Linked DNA regions of Mus musculus. The main gene of each other region encodes a partner of the protein of the gene in region 2 in a complex. Links are inferred from orthologs where the notes say so. Each region holds a gene or a part of one and is shown on either strand. Other genes may lie near its edges. The genes, in order: Pstpip1, Ptpn22 and Csk.

What was found.
Region 1: the proteins of Ptpn22 (region 2) and Pstpip1 are in contact, whole or in part, in a crystal structure (PDB 7AAM), measured with the Homo sapiens proteins. The link is inferred for Mus musculus from reciprocal best matches to the Homo sapiens genes PTPN22 and PSTPIP1. Residues at the interface, in NP_057051.4 of Homo sapiens: Ser793, Lys794, Pro795, Gly797, Pro798, Arg799, Asn800, Pro801, Pro802, Trp805, Asn806; in NP_003969.2 of Homo sapiens: Thr225, Arg228, Asn229, Trp232, Asn236, Ser239, Met240, Cys242, Val243, Asp246.
Region 3: the proteins of Ptpn22 (region 2) and Csk are in contact, whole or in part, in an NMR structure (PDB 1JEG), measured with the Mus musculus proteins. Residues at the interface, in NP_033005.1 of Mus musculus: Pro614, Pro615, Leu616, Pro617, Glu618, Arg619, Thr620, Glu622, Ser623, Phe624, Ile625, Val626, Val627; in NP_001291690.1 of Mus musculus: Phe20, Thr23, Gln26, Ala40, Val41, Thr42, Lys43, Asp44, Asn46, Trp47, Ile59, Pro61, Asn63, Tyr64.

The regions. Positions count from the first base shown.
Region 1 is NC_000075.6:56,116,998-56,121,181, forward strand, and holds part of Pstpip1 (proline-serine-threonine phosphatase-interacting protein 1), read left to right. Parts: intron 1-1,479; exon of another isoform or gene 1,480-1,529; coding exon of another isoform or gene 1,530-1,606; intron 1,607-3,303; coding exon 3,304-3,338; intron 3,339-3,549; coding exon 3,550-3,656; intron 3,657-4,184. UniProt on the Homo sapiens protein: Involved in regulation of the actin cytoskeleton. May regulate WAS actin-bundling activity. Bridges the interaction between ABL1 and PTPN18 leading to ABL1 dephosphorylation.
Region 2 is NC_000069.6:103,858,539-103,863,458, reverse strand, and holds the start of Ptpn22 (tyrosine-protein phosphatase non-receptor type 22), read right to left. Parts: upstream 3,183-4,920; 5' UTR 3,056-3,182; coding exon 2,969-3,055; intron 1-2,968. UniProt on the Homo sapiens protein: Acts as a negative regulator of T-cell receptor (TCR) signaling by direct dephosphorylation of the Src family kinases LCK and FYN, ITAMs of the TCRz/CD3 complex, as well as ZAP70, VAV, VCP and other key signaling molecules.
Region 3 is NC_000075.6:57,626,013-57,629,204, reverse strand, and holds the end of Csk (tyrosine-protein kinase CSK), read left to right. Parts: intron 1-138; coding exon 139-204; intron 205-284; coding exon 285-384; intron 385-461; coding exon 462-552; intron 553-954; coding exon 955-1,028; intron 1,029-1,131; coding exon 1,132-1,327; intron 1,328-1,401; coding exon 1,402-1,488; intron 1,489-1,701; coding exon 1,702-1,884; 3' UTR 1,885-2,559; downstream 2,560-3,192. UniProt on the Homo sapiens protein: Non-receptor tyrosine-protein kinase that plays an important role in the regulation of cell growth, differentiation, migration and immune response.

The DNA.
Region 1 (4,184 bases), on a different chromosome or scaffold from region 2:
CATCTTTGAACCCCCATCTGGGACGCCCGCTCCTTGCCTACCCTGTTAGAGATCTGCCAAACACCTAGTCCCTCAGCAGGGAATGCAAGTGGATCCACAACACTTGTTCTAGTCGCTTGGGGGTGGGAAGTGTTGGTCCTTAGGAAAGGGCCTAGCTGGTGGCCATCCTCCAACACCCAGCTCCCTGGATTGAGGAGCTGTCCTCTCTGCCTACAAGACAGGGTAGCAGAGCTGAGTAAACAATGAGACAAAGGCCTGGGGGTGAAGTGACTTCGTGACTAGCCCACACTGAGAGAGCTCCACTGGCTACCTCCTCCTGTGCAGCCCTCAAACCAGCATTCCTGCCTCAGGCCTCACACTAGCTAGGGTCTCACAGGGTCCCCATAAATGACAGGAAGTTTTAGTCACACCTTAGAATGAGTTTTCTCACTCCTCACTCCTGTTACCGTAGTGAACCTGCCTGAGCCCCTGTGTGGCTTTTGGTGCATTGTAAGGACAGGCTAGGTATTTCAGGAGCTGTCATGATACCGCACACACCATGATCAGCCTTCCTGTCTGGTCCTCTGCTTCTGCCCAGACCCTCACCTTGCTCAAGAAGTAGTCACCTCCTCCCACTCTTCTTCTTGCCACACCAGGAGGGATGCTGTGGGTGCCTTGGAGAACAGAGTGGACCTTGGCCAATGTCCTGTGAGCCCCTCTGTGGTTACAGATGAGCAACATTAGCCCATGGGCACCTTAAAGCCCACCTGACCTTCACCCCTCCTAAACACAAGTGCTGAGATGGTCCCATCAGAGGAGATTTCATGTGTTTTATGATCTCTGCTCCACTGAGATCAGGGTGAAGGCATGTCTCCTAGTGAGGAGCAGTTATACTGTGAAACTAGACTTCAGCTAGAGTTTCCAGGTCTCCTGAGAGCCAAGCTACAGACTAGCAGGTTGTGTTGCACGTTTGCACATTGGTGATAAATGCCGAAAGTCAGAATCATTCTAACCTGTGGTCACCTTCCTCTGCAAGGCTAGCCTTGACATTTTATCTTTTAGGATTTGCATTTGTATGTCTGCTGTGCGGATGTGTGCAGGGGCCCGTGGAGGCCAGTGGTGATGGCTAGGGCTGGGGTTACAGGGCTGCGAGCCATCTGATGTGGGTGCAAGAACCAAATGTGCTCTTAACCCCTGAGCCATCGATAAGTGCAGCCCTTGGCCTTGAGGTTTTGCCTCTTACCACCTGGATGGCTTTTGGCCTCAGTGACTCAGTTTCCTTATCTGTAAATGGCTTGTGGGCCCGAGGCGGAAACCATTCAGGCTATCCTCATCCTGAGTGTGTCAGCACTGGAAGGTTAGGACTAAGTGGTCAGCGGTTGGTCACTGGCAGAGGCCTGCACATCTGCATATCTCATGGCTCCCAGGCTGTTGCTACTGCTCCATGGTCTTGTCAGGCAAGACACCTGGCAGTAACTAGGACCCCATAATCCTCCTTAGGGCCTGGATCTCCAGGGGTCCTCTCAGGTTGCCACTCCTCCTTGGCCTCAATGTCCCCAACTGTTCAGAGAGAAGAGGAAGCCCCCATGGAACATATTCATCCTACCCCGGAAGGAAGCACAGGCAGGTGGGCTTCCCTTACAGTTCACCCAGGGAATTGGTTATGTGACAGGTGCCACATGACTATATTACCACCAGGGGGCGGAAGAGCGCCCTGCAGAGAGGCAGTGAAAGCTTGCAACAAGGGCGCTACTTAGCTCTCGATGCTGAGCGTGGAGCAGGCTGTGCCACCATGCGTTTGCTTTTGTGTCCTTAAGAGACGTAGTACCCCTAAGCCCAAGCTGGGAGCGCAGAGGCACATCTCCCTCACATGCACGGCCTGATGTCACTCAGCTGCCGGAGAGGCTCTGGGAAAGGACGGAAGCTGGTGTAGCCAGGCAGAGACTCCTCCTACCTGAAGTTAAGGATGCCGCTTCTGGGAAGGCGCCACTGGAAAACTCTTCCAAAGTGCAACTGGGGTTAGAGGAAGACCTAGTTCGGCTGCTGGTGCCTGGGGGATGTCCTGGGGACTGGCGGAGTTTGCATATGTGTGAGTGTGACAGGCATGTTAAGCTCCTGACTTGCGCCAGGCTTCAACGATGCCTTATAGTGAGTGGACTATCATTCTCAAAACCACTTTGTGCTGCTAACTGCTCACCATAGAAGGGAAGTCAAGGCAGAGGGCCAGGTGGCTTGCCCAGGGTCACACAGTGAATAAGTGGTAGAGCCTGGCCATCTGGCTACAGGGTGTGCTGCTTTTGTGTGTGGAGACCGGAGTAAGAGGCCACCGCAGATTTCCTAGGTTGGTTCCCACACACACTATCTGCCCCCTCCTCTGAATGGAGCACATGCCTCTCGAGGGCCCTGCTCCTGAGAGCTTGGACTCGCGCTCACAGTTTCCGTATTGGCCCCAGGACTCCGATACCCACCGATAAACAGCAGTGTGTGCTGGCCGAGCCGGCATCTCTGCTTGGCCCTCAGCGCTACCATGCTCTGGGGTGAACAAGGCTGCCGGAGAGAATCCAGGGCGCCCAGTGTGCTGTTCAAGTAAACTGAGCAGAGTGGGGATTTCTGTGGGAAGGGGGTGGGAGCAGTTGGGACAGAGTCTTTTTTTTTTTTTTTTTTTTTTTTGGTCGCTTATGATGACCTTAAACTTGTGGCCTGTCTGCCTCTGCTGCCCAGGTGTCACCCCCACTTGCCCAGGGGCTTCCACTTTACCTGGCAGCCTCTCCTGCTTGAGCACTGTTCTAGCTCCCATACAGCCTCCTCCTTCCCCTCCCCTTGGTACCCAGCCTGAAGCAGATGCCATAGCTGTCCCTGGCTCTGTCCCTGCCCACCTCCCAGCCTTTCCTTATGCCTTCCATGCCACCTGCTGGAAAGAGCTATAAAGACCTTCCCCTGCGTCAGATTCATCCAGGCAATATTGAGTATAACCAGGTGCCTGCATGGGCGGAAGTCTCATAGAGGCTGGGAGCTTCCTGTGGACACACCCCTCTTCTCTGGGCTGCAAAGACATGGGGAGTGAGAAAGTGGGGGACAGAACTGCCGTAGCAAGGAGGCTTTCCCACCACAGCAAGGTTCCACTGCTTTTTAATTTACAAAGAAAACTGTTTTCTAGAATGTCAGTTGGGGGTTACATGAATGATGACCATGGCCAAAGGTCCCTTGCATCCATAGTAGTCAATATGGCTTAGGGCCCTCCCTCCAAAATAAAACACCATGGGTCAGGCAGGACGCCAGGCTCCTGCAGCATGCTGTCTACTGACCTAGACTTCTGTTTTGCAGTTCCCTGAGGACCTCCTTTGACTCCCTGAAGCAGCGTAAGTTCCAACCATCCCCACATGGGCAGCAGGGCCATTAGGGTCTCCTGGAAGACCCTTAGCCCTTGTATGGGGTGACTAAGTTAGGAGCTATGTGCTTGGGCTGTGGTCCAGCTCTGTGCCAGGCTGAAAGGCTGATGGAAGATGTGAGGGTGGGAGGTAGGGTGAGGGAGACAGACTGGTCCAAGCAGAGGCCACGCTGTCACCCTAGAAACAGAGAATGTGGGCAGTGCACACATCCAGCTGGCCCTGGCCCTGCGTGAGGAGCTGCGGAGCCTGGAGGAGTTCCGAGAGAGACAGAAAGAGCAGCGGAAGAAGGTGAGGGGGTGGGGAGGGCGAAGGAGGGGAGGTGGGGGACCCCCCCAGAGGCCACCCACTCACTGTTCTGGGGGCCAGTTGGGAAGCATGGCTTGATGAAGGGGGGAGAGTGTGTGTATGTTCTAGCTTGCTTTCCTGTTGCTGTGATAAACCCCTGACTTGGGAAGAAAGGTTTATCTTCTCAGGTCACACTCCATCACTGAGTGAAGTTAGGGCAGGAACCTAGAGGCAGGAACTGGAGCAGAACCGAGAGAAGGAATGTTTCCTGGCTTTGCTCCCAGCTCATGTTCAGCCCCGGTTTTCTCACATAGCCCAGGTCTACCACAGAGCTGCCAGGAGCCAGGAAGAGAAAGGGTGTGGAGCTTTTAGACGATCCTCCTTCATACTGTGTGATTAAGTATCCAACCTGAGTTGAGTGGCCCCTGGAAGCTGGCTCTGAACACAAGGATTAGGGCTGCTGGTTCTGGAGACAGGCAGACTTGGGGCCCGTAGTCTGCATGGCTGCTCAACAAGGAGCGGGGAGACAGT
Region 2 (4,920 bases):
TTCCACAGGCACTGGGCAGGCACTAAATGCATAATATATAAATGCCGGCAAAACAACACATATACACACACCAAATACAAATCTTTCTTTAAAGGAGCAGGGTGTGCTTGATGGTACACGCCTTTACTTCTGTTACATAGGAGGCAGACAGACTTCTGAGAGTCTGAGGCCACCCTGGTCTACATAGTGAATCCCAGTGCAGTGAGAGCTGCATAACGAAACAACAATAAAAACTTAACAACGACAAAGAAGTCAGGACTGAAATCTGAGTTAAGGAACCTTTTGGTTTTGTTTCTTGGTTTGTTTGTTTGTTTGTTTTGTGGGGGGAGTTGTTGCACAGAAAATCTACATTTAAGTATAAATGCTGTATCATACTAGCCACTAAGGCTGCTAGCAGTGCCTTTACGTCATAAAGTTCATTCTGAAATCTCACAAACATCAAGAACTTCAGGTGGACTGTGGGCAGAAGTCAAGTGGAAACCTTCCAGTTGGATGGCAGTATTTCCCTGGGCCAACAGCTCCTCTCCCAAAGCTATTTTTCTGGTGTCTCAGTTGAACCTTTAGGTGGGGCTGAGGGTGAAACTCTTGTTTTTCCACTGGAGGACGTGAGTCAGTGAACAGTGAGGTTCCACTTAATCACCACCCAAAAGAAGGTTCTTAAGTATAAGGAGCCAGAAGGGCAAGGAGATGATTAATATAAACCCAGGACAGTGATTTACCCGGGTGGGATGGGGTGGAGGAATGGGGTGGGGTGGGGTGGGGTGGGTGGGTGGAGAGGCCAGTTGTGGAAGGGACAGTAGGGAATCTCTCCAAGTTAGACAGTGCTATATTTTTTGATCTGTGCAGTAACCGCATTAGCACTGGTTCCTTTATAACTATATTCACATGTTTTGTGTAGTTTTTCTAAATATATATTTTAGTTCACAATTATAAGCAGCTAACAAAATACAAGCTATAAAAAAGTTCTTAAGCTGAGAAAAATATGACCAGATTTATGTAATTAAAAGAGCACTTTGGAGCCTGGCATGGTGGTGTACACCATTGTACACCTTTCATCTCAGCACTCAGGAAACAGAAGGTGGATCTCTGAGTTCAAGGCTAGTCTCGTCTATACAGTGAGTTCCAGCCCAGCTATGGCTACATAGTGAGTCCTTGTCTAAGAAAATTAAGGTGGGACAAGGCTAGAAACAGAGAAAGCAGTCAGGAGGTGGCAGCCAGTTTGGTAAGAGACTATAACGACCTCTACGAGTGGTTAAAATATTAGAGATATAGTCTGCTCTGTTTTGAAAAATACAACCCAAGTAAGACAAAGATGTCACTACCTCTCAGCTCACGTCCCCTCTATATCTTAATAAATTGCCTTAAGAATGTCTCAGTGATACAGTCAAAAGGCATGCTTGGATCTAAGTAGACACATAGGCAACTCTACCCTGTGCCTAAACTACCCTGAGAACTTGTGGCAGAAAGAAAATATTTAAGTGACACCATAAGCTGGCATAATATCTTAGCCTCAAAGTTGGGCCACTATATACTAGCCTGCTGTGCTATCTAATAGTGATATCTGTTCAGTGAAAACATCATGGATAGTTTTCTCTTCTAATATCTGGTGCCAGAACGCTAGTTCTGGAAGGCAAAGACATTTTGTTTACTATTGTATCTTAGTGTGAAGAAACAAAGTTGGTACATAGTAAGTGCTCCTAAATGATCCCTTTTCTGAGACACGGTCCCTCTCAGTCGCCTGGGCGAGCCTTGAACTCAAGATTTAACCCACCTCAGCCTTCCAAGTAACTGGGTCTCTGGGTGCCTCCAAAACACCTTGTTCTCATTTAATTATTATAATTAATGATATAATCATCACAATAATCCAAAATGAGATAGATAGGACATAAATTATTATCCTCATTTTTTTAACCTAGAAAACAAAGAGTTAGGGTGATTTGGGAACACGTTAAATATTTGATAATTTGAATGATGACCATGTCGATGTTCTTTATTTTTCTCAATTCAAAGCTGAAGGGCTAAGGCTTAACATTCTTACAGTTCTGAAATACCAATTAGAAGCTTTTAGAACACAGCAGGTTGGTGTGGTCGTACATGCCTTTGATCCCAGTGAGGCAGAGGCAGGAGGATCTTTTAAGTTCAAGGCCAAACCTGATCTACATAGTGAGCTCTAGGCCAGACAGAGCTACATACTGATACAAACAAACAAACAAACAAACAAACACTAAGCAAAAACCAAAAGCATGACAGGTGTGTCAAATACCATGTTATCTGATGTGCCTGACAGGGATGGAAAATGGGCCGCCCAGCTTTTGTTACACTGTTAACTATGGCTCCCTCTAAGTGGATTTGAGTTCTGGATAATCAAGTCCACCTGCTCCCAGGCTACCTTGCTCTCCATGTCTCTCACGTGTCTCTACTCCCCACTCTCCCTAGCCCACTTCTCCAGACAATATAAGTTAAAGAAGCCCAGCTATTGTTAAAAAGGAAAATGCCTATTCTAATAATCAACTTGTTTTCAAAGGGATAGGAGAAAAAGTGGCAAAATGAGAGTTTTTGGTGTTTTTCAAACCCCTGTTATCCCAATGATAGCCTATAGGGAAGCTAAAAATAACACGTAACATGAAAAGCTACTCTTATTAGTAATCTGAAGCATATGTCACAATGCAAATGCTTTCTGCAGATGTTCAGAAAGCATTAATATCCATACACCTGTCTATACCTTCTGTAGGACCATTAAGCTCAAAAGAACAAGCAAACCCAACATTAAAACCAGCCTACCTGGAGAAAACCCTGAGCACAGACACAACAAAGCCCAGAGAGGTTATGTTCTTAGGTCGCCTTCCTCCCTTCCACTCCAAACTCCATGGTCGTGTTATCCCTACAGCAATTGCGTCTAGGCAAACTGGGCCACCACAGACTGCTACACAGTTTATCTAAGAACTCTTCAGAGCATTCCAGAACTCACCAGAAATTCACTGGCAAACTCCTCACTGTTGAGTTTCTTTTTCTGGGCTTCTTTCAGTAGTTGCTGCAGAATTTCTCTTTGGTCCATGCCGCAGAGCAAGAGTCTGTGAGTAGGTTAAGGGAGGGCATGTCAAATATGTGTCATGGCCAAGGCAGCACCAAGAAGCCACTGCTGCTGCAGGAGCACAGCGTGCTGGAGGCTGTGGTTTACTGACTTCATCACAAGCCCTAGAGGAAATTAGTACAAAACTAGCTTCTGTGGTCACACAACAAAGCCATCATCTCCCTGCAGGGCCCTAGCGCCTTCCTTTCTCAACAAAGAAACTTGGCTACTGTTCAAATGTAACAAACAAGAGGCTAACCAGAACACAAACTGTGGTCTGCTTAGCTCAGAGACTGTTCCACGCTGTCAGTCTCAGACAGCACTCAGTTCTTCCATTCCCAGAAGAAAGGCAGAAAGTACAGCACTAACCTGTGAGTTCAGCTTTTCACATCCCAGTGAGCAGAAAGGCCTGGGTGACGCCCACCTATGCCCTGCTGCAGGAGAGGAGACAAACACTGGAGTTACCTATCTCCGACCCGGACCATTATCCCCAAAGTCTCCTATAGATATGATCATGGCAGACCTCTGCTCATCAAGCGGGCATTTTGTTTCAGAATTTGTCAAGCTTCCATTATAAACCTCACGTTTTTCTTTTAGAGGAAGCAAAGTCCACTGCTTCTGATGGTCCATCTCACCCGTGACTGGGGAAGTACTGGCCCTCATTAAGGGAAGTGTTGGTCTCTGTACTTCTTCAGACCTCCAGTAGCTTTGCAAACACTGAGAGTACAGCTCTACACAGGATGGGAAGCACCGGGGAGGCAGTTAGCACAATATCCCCAGAACGCACTGCTAGCAAACAGCGAAAGGACAAAACGGAACTAAAGCTAAAATATTGCTTGCTGAGAACCATACAGATTCTATCTAGGTCAGCCTGTCTGGAGAGAATTGAGGAGAGGTGGTGCAGTCCCAGCTCCTCAGGACTGTCCCCAGCTGCAAGATCACTTGAGTCTCAGAGTTTGAGACACCTGAGAAACAAAGTGAGCGCTCTCTCTCTCTCTCTCTCTCTCTCTCTCAGAAGGGGAGGGAGGAAGAATGAAAGAGGCTGAAGAATTCATGAAGACATGTTGACATTTTGATCCTACAGAGCCTATCTCAGAAAAGATCGCGTTTCAGGGAGCCGTCCACATCTGTGGTATCAGTGCCTTAACAAGGCAGGTTATTCCAGAGAATGCTTCCACATCTCCGTTTGCATAAATCCTCTCTTCGATGGGCACAAATCCACTCAAGATCTAATTCAGTGTGAAAACCCTTGCAAATGAGGAAGTTCAGTAAACAGAATGTTACAAAATTAGTTTCAAGTTAAAAAAAAAAACTGGGAAAGGTGTAGTTTGGACTTCCTCTATTAAGATATTAGCAACCCTTTCTGGTTTTACACTATTCAAACTCCCTTCAGAAAATCATGATTTTGAACACAAAACACGCTGCACCCTCTTCATTGAACCCTTGGCAGGCAATTTGAAGTTAGTATTTCACATAAAGAATTTCAAATGTAGTTCACACAAATTAAAATGAACCATAATTCTTCAGCAATATTTCCTGAGACTAAAACAAATCTCTGAGATTATCCTTGTCTAGCAACAACAGGAAATTTCTTGCTACTCTAAATGATGCAATATTTGACTATTTTAAAACATACAAAATATGGGGAAGCTTTATTTTTAAAAAGAATACAACATTCTTCAGGGTATAATGGAATATACTTGTAACACTAGCACTGAGGAGGCTCAGATAGGAGAATGGTTACAAAGTGCAGGCCTATCTGAACTATATATAGCAAGACACTGTCTCAAAAGTTAAATACTTTAAAAATCCTAAGTTAACTATAAATAAAATTATATGAAAATATGAAA
Region 3 (3,192 bases), on a different chromosome or scaffold from region 2:
TCTGCCCTTACCCTAGAGGCTTGGAAACCCCAGACACCCACATCTAAAACTGTTTAGTCTGTGCCTGTCATCTCAAGTGCCTCAGATTAGCTGTTCACTTCACTTACACTCCGCCTCCCTCCCGGTCCCTGTCCCCAGGTGGCTGGGCACTGAACATGAAGGAACTGAAGCTGCTACAGACAATAGGGAAGGGGGAGTTTGGAGGTGAGTTGACGGAGCCCGGGAGAGGGGTTAGGTGGGGGGAGCCCTGGGAGTCCAGGAACTAGCCCCTGCCTCTCCTGCAGATGTGATGCTGGGGGATTACCGGGGCAACAAAGTTGCAGTCAAGTGCATCAAGAATGACGCAACTGCCCAGGCCTTCCTGGCTGAAGCCTCCGTCATGACGTGAGCTGGACTGCCTGGGTGGAGCACCGGGTGGGGGGTTGGCAGGCCGAACTCCTGACCACCCTGTCCTGCCACAGGCAACTTCGGCACAGCAACCTCGTCCAGCTGCTGGGTGTGATTGTGGAGGAGAAGGGTGGGCTCTACATCGTCACAGAGTACATGGCCAAGGTAGGTTCTCCTCAGCCTCACCCTGTTCCTCCCACAGCCCCTCCACTCTGCCTGGCCTGGCCAGTCGTTTATTGGCCAACTTTAAACAAGTCATGCGAGCCGGGCGTGGTGGCGCACGCCTTTAATCCCAGCACTCGGGAGGCAGAGGCAGGCGGATTTCTGAGTTTGAGGCCAGCCTGGTCTACAGAGTGAGTTCCAGGACAGCCAGAGCTACACAGAAACCCTGTCTCGAAAAACAAAACAAACAAACAAAAAACAAGTCATGCCAACCTTTTCAGACCTCCGTTTTCCCACCCATAAGTGGCCCAAAGATTGTGGGGTTGAATGGTATGAACACTCTATCACTAGTGTTCTGGCTCCTCCCTGCTCACCCCCTCCTGTCCCTTTCTGTCCCACCCGCAGGGGAGTTTGGTGGACTATCTTCGATCACGTGGTCGTTCGGTGCTAGGTGGAGACTGTCTCCTCAAATTCTCATTGTGAGTAGTGCAACCTGGGTGGGGGTAAGAACTTGAAGGAGCCCCCTGCCCTGCTATGAGTGGGAGTCCCCGTCTGAGGGACATGTGGCTGTCCTGCCCTCAGAGACGTCTGTGAAGCCATGGAGTACCTGGAGGGTAACAATTTTGTGCACCGGGACTTGGCTGCCCGGAATGTGCTGGTGTCTGAAGACAACGTGGCCAAAGTCAGTGACTTTGGCCTCACTAAGGAAGCCTCCAGCACTCAGGACACAGGCAAGCTGCCAGTCAAATGGACAGCGCCTGAAGCCTTGAGAGAGAAGGTGAGCGAGGGTCCTGGAACCACCCCTCTAGAGCTCCCTAGGACCCAATGCTGATTCTCTTCTCCACATGGCAGAAATTTTCCACCAAGTCTGATGTGTGGAGTTTCGGAATCCTTCTCTGGGAAATCTATTCCTTCGGGCGAGTGCCTTACCCAAGAATTGTGAGTATGGGTCTGGAGGCCAGTGTGTGGCTGAAGCCGAGGGAGGGTGGGGCGGCAAGAGCATCCCACGGGAACCGCCTGTCTGTCTGGAGCCTGGGCCTCTGGTCTGTCCTGAGTAGCCTCCAGGCCATTCCCTGACTTCTTAGAGAGGGGCTTCTGGGTAGGGCTCCCTCTGTAAGACGCTGAGCTGACTCACACACCATCTGCTCACAGCCCCTGAAGGACGTCGTCCCTCGGGTGGAAAAGGGCTATAAGATGGACGCTCCGGATGGCTGCCCGCCCGCAGTCTACGAGGTGATGAAGAACTGCTGGCACCTGGATGCTGCCACACGGCCCACGTTTTTGCAGCTTCGGGAACAGCTCGAGCACATCAAGACCCATGAGCTGCACCTGTGACCTCTGCCTCCGCCAAGGCCATGGGCCGGCAGGGACAGGGCCTCGGAGATTACAGATCTGGTGCCCTGCTGCTTGCTGGGCCTGAACTTGAACTGAGCCCCAGCCGGCTGGTAGGCCTCTTGCCTCTGACCTGCCTGTCCCTTCTGGCCCCCAGGGACCCCACCTAGGCCTGGCATCTTCTCTCATGGACCCACCTATAGGGCTTGGGGTGCCCACTGAAGGGGCTGAGGAGAGGAGGCCAAGGAACAGGAGGAGTGCCGTGCAGCTGGCCTCCTCAAGGCCCCACCATTCGCCTTCTTAGAGTTTTATTCCTTTCCTTTTTTGAGATTTTTTTCCGTGTGTTTATTTTTTATTATTTTTCAACATAAGGAGAAAGAAAGTACCCAGCAAATGGGCATTTTACAAGAAGTACGAATCTTATTTTTCCTGTCCTGCCCCTGGGGGTGGGGAGGAATCAGCCTCTCTCTAGGGACCCATCACCCCAGCCCGTCCCCCATCCCGTGTTCCATGTCCAGTGTTGCCTCGGTCGCCTGTGTTTGCGCTTGACCATGTTGCGCTGTTTGCATGTGCCCAAGGCAGGCGTCTGTCGGGGGCTTGGATTTCATGTGCTGTGGCCGCTCACCCACACCGCCTTGTGAGATGGAATCAATAAACCACTCCATGAGGACACCGCCACCCAGCCTCGGCGCTTCCTCCGCCGAGCCTGCCTGTCTGCCCAGTCGTCTTCCCATGCCATCTTGTCCATCCCCCTGTCTCTGTGAGTGGGGCTGAGAGGGAAGCATGGCCAGGAGATGTAACCGCCTCTTTGTGTCAGCTGCACGAGCCAGTGTCCTGTGTCTGCCCGTGGGGAAGTGCTCACCGCTGTCCATCTCTGCCAGCTACTACCCGAGCCTGAGCTCCTGGGCTGCCTCGGGCTCTGGGACCGGTCCTTGGTATGCTGCTGGGGATTCTGGCTGCTTCTGCCGTGTTGTCCAGGCCTGAAGCACAAAGAAGTGAAGTCCTGGCGTGGCCAGATGGGATGTGGCTCTGGGGTGAGAGCCCAGATAAACATGCCTCAGGCCACACTGACCTCAAGGGTGATGGGAAGGGGAGCCCCTGGGGCTTCTCACGTCTCATCTAACATGTGACAGCTTTGCTCTTCCCCACCCTACTGTGTGCCAAGCCCTGTGCCCTCTTGGGCTTTGCATGGAGCGAGGCACCTTTTGTCTGTCCCAGCTGGGACACACAGAGGGAGAATGAGGACCAGTCATGGGCTTTCCTCCCCCCAGGTTGTCCAGGGCCTGCAGAGCCGCAGTGGGTAGGAGAGCC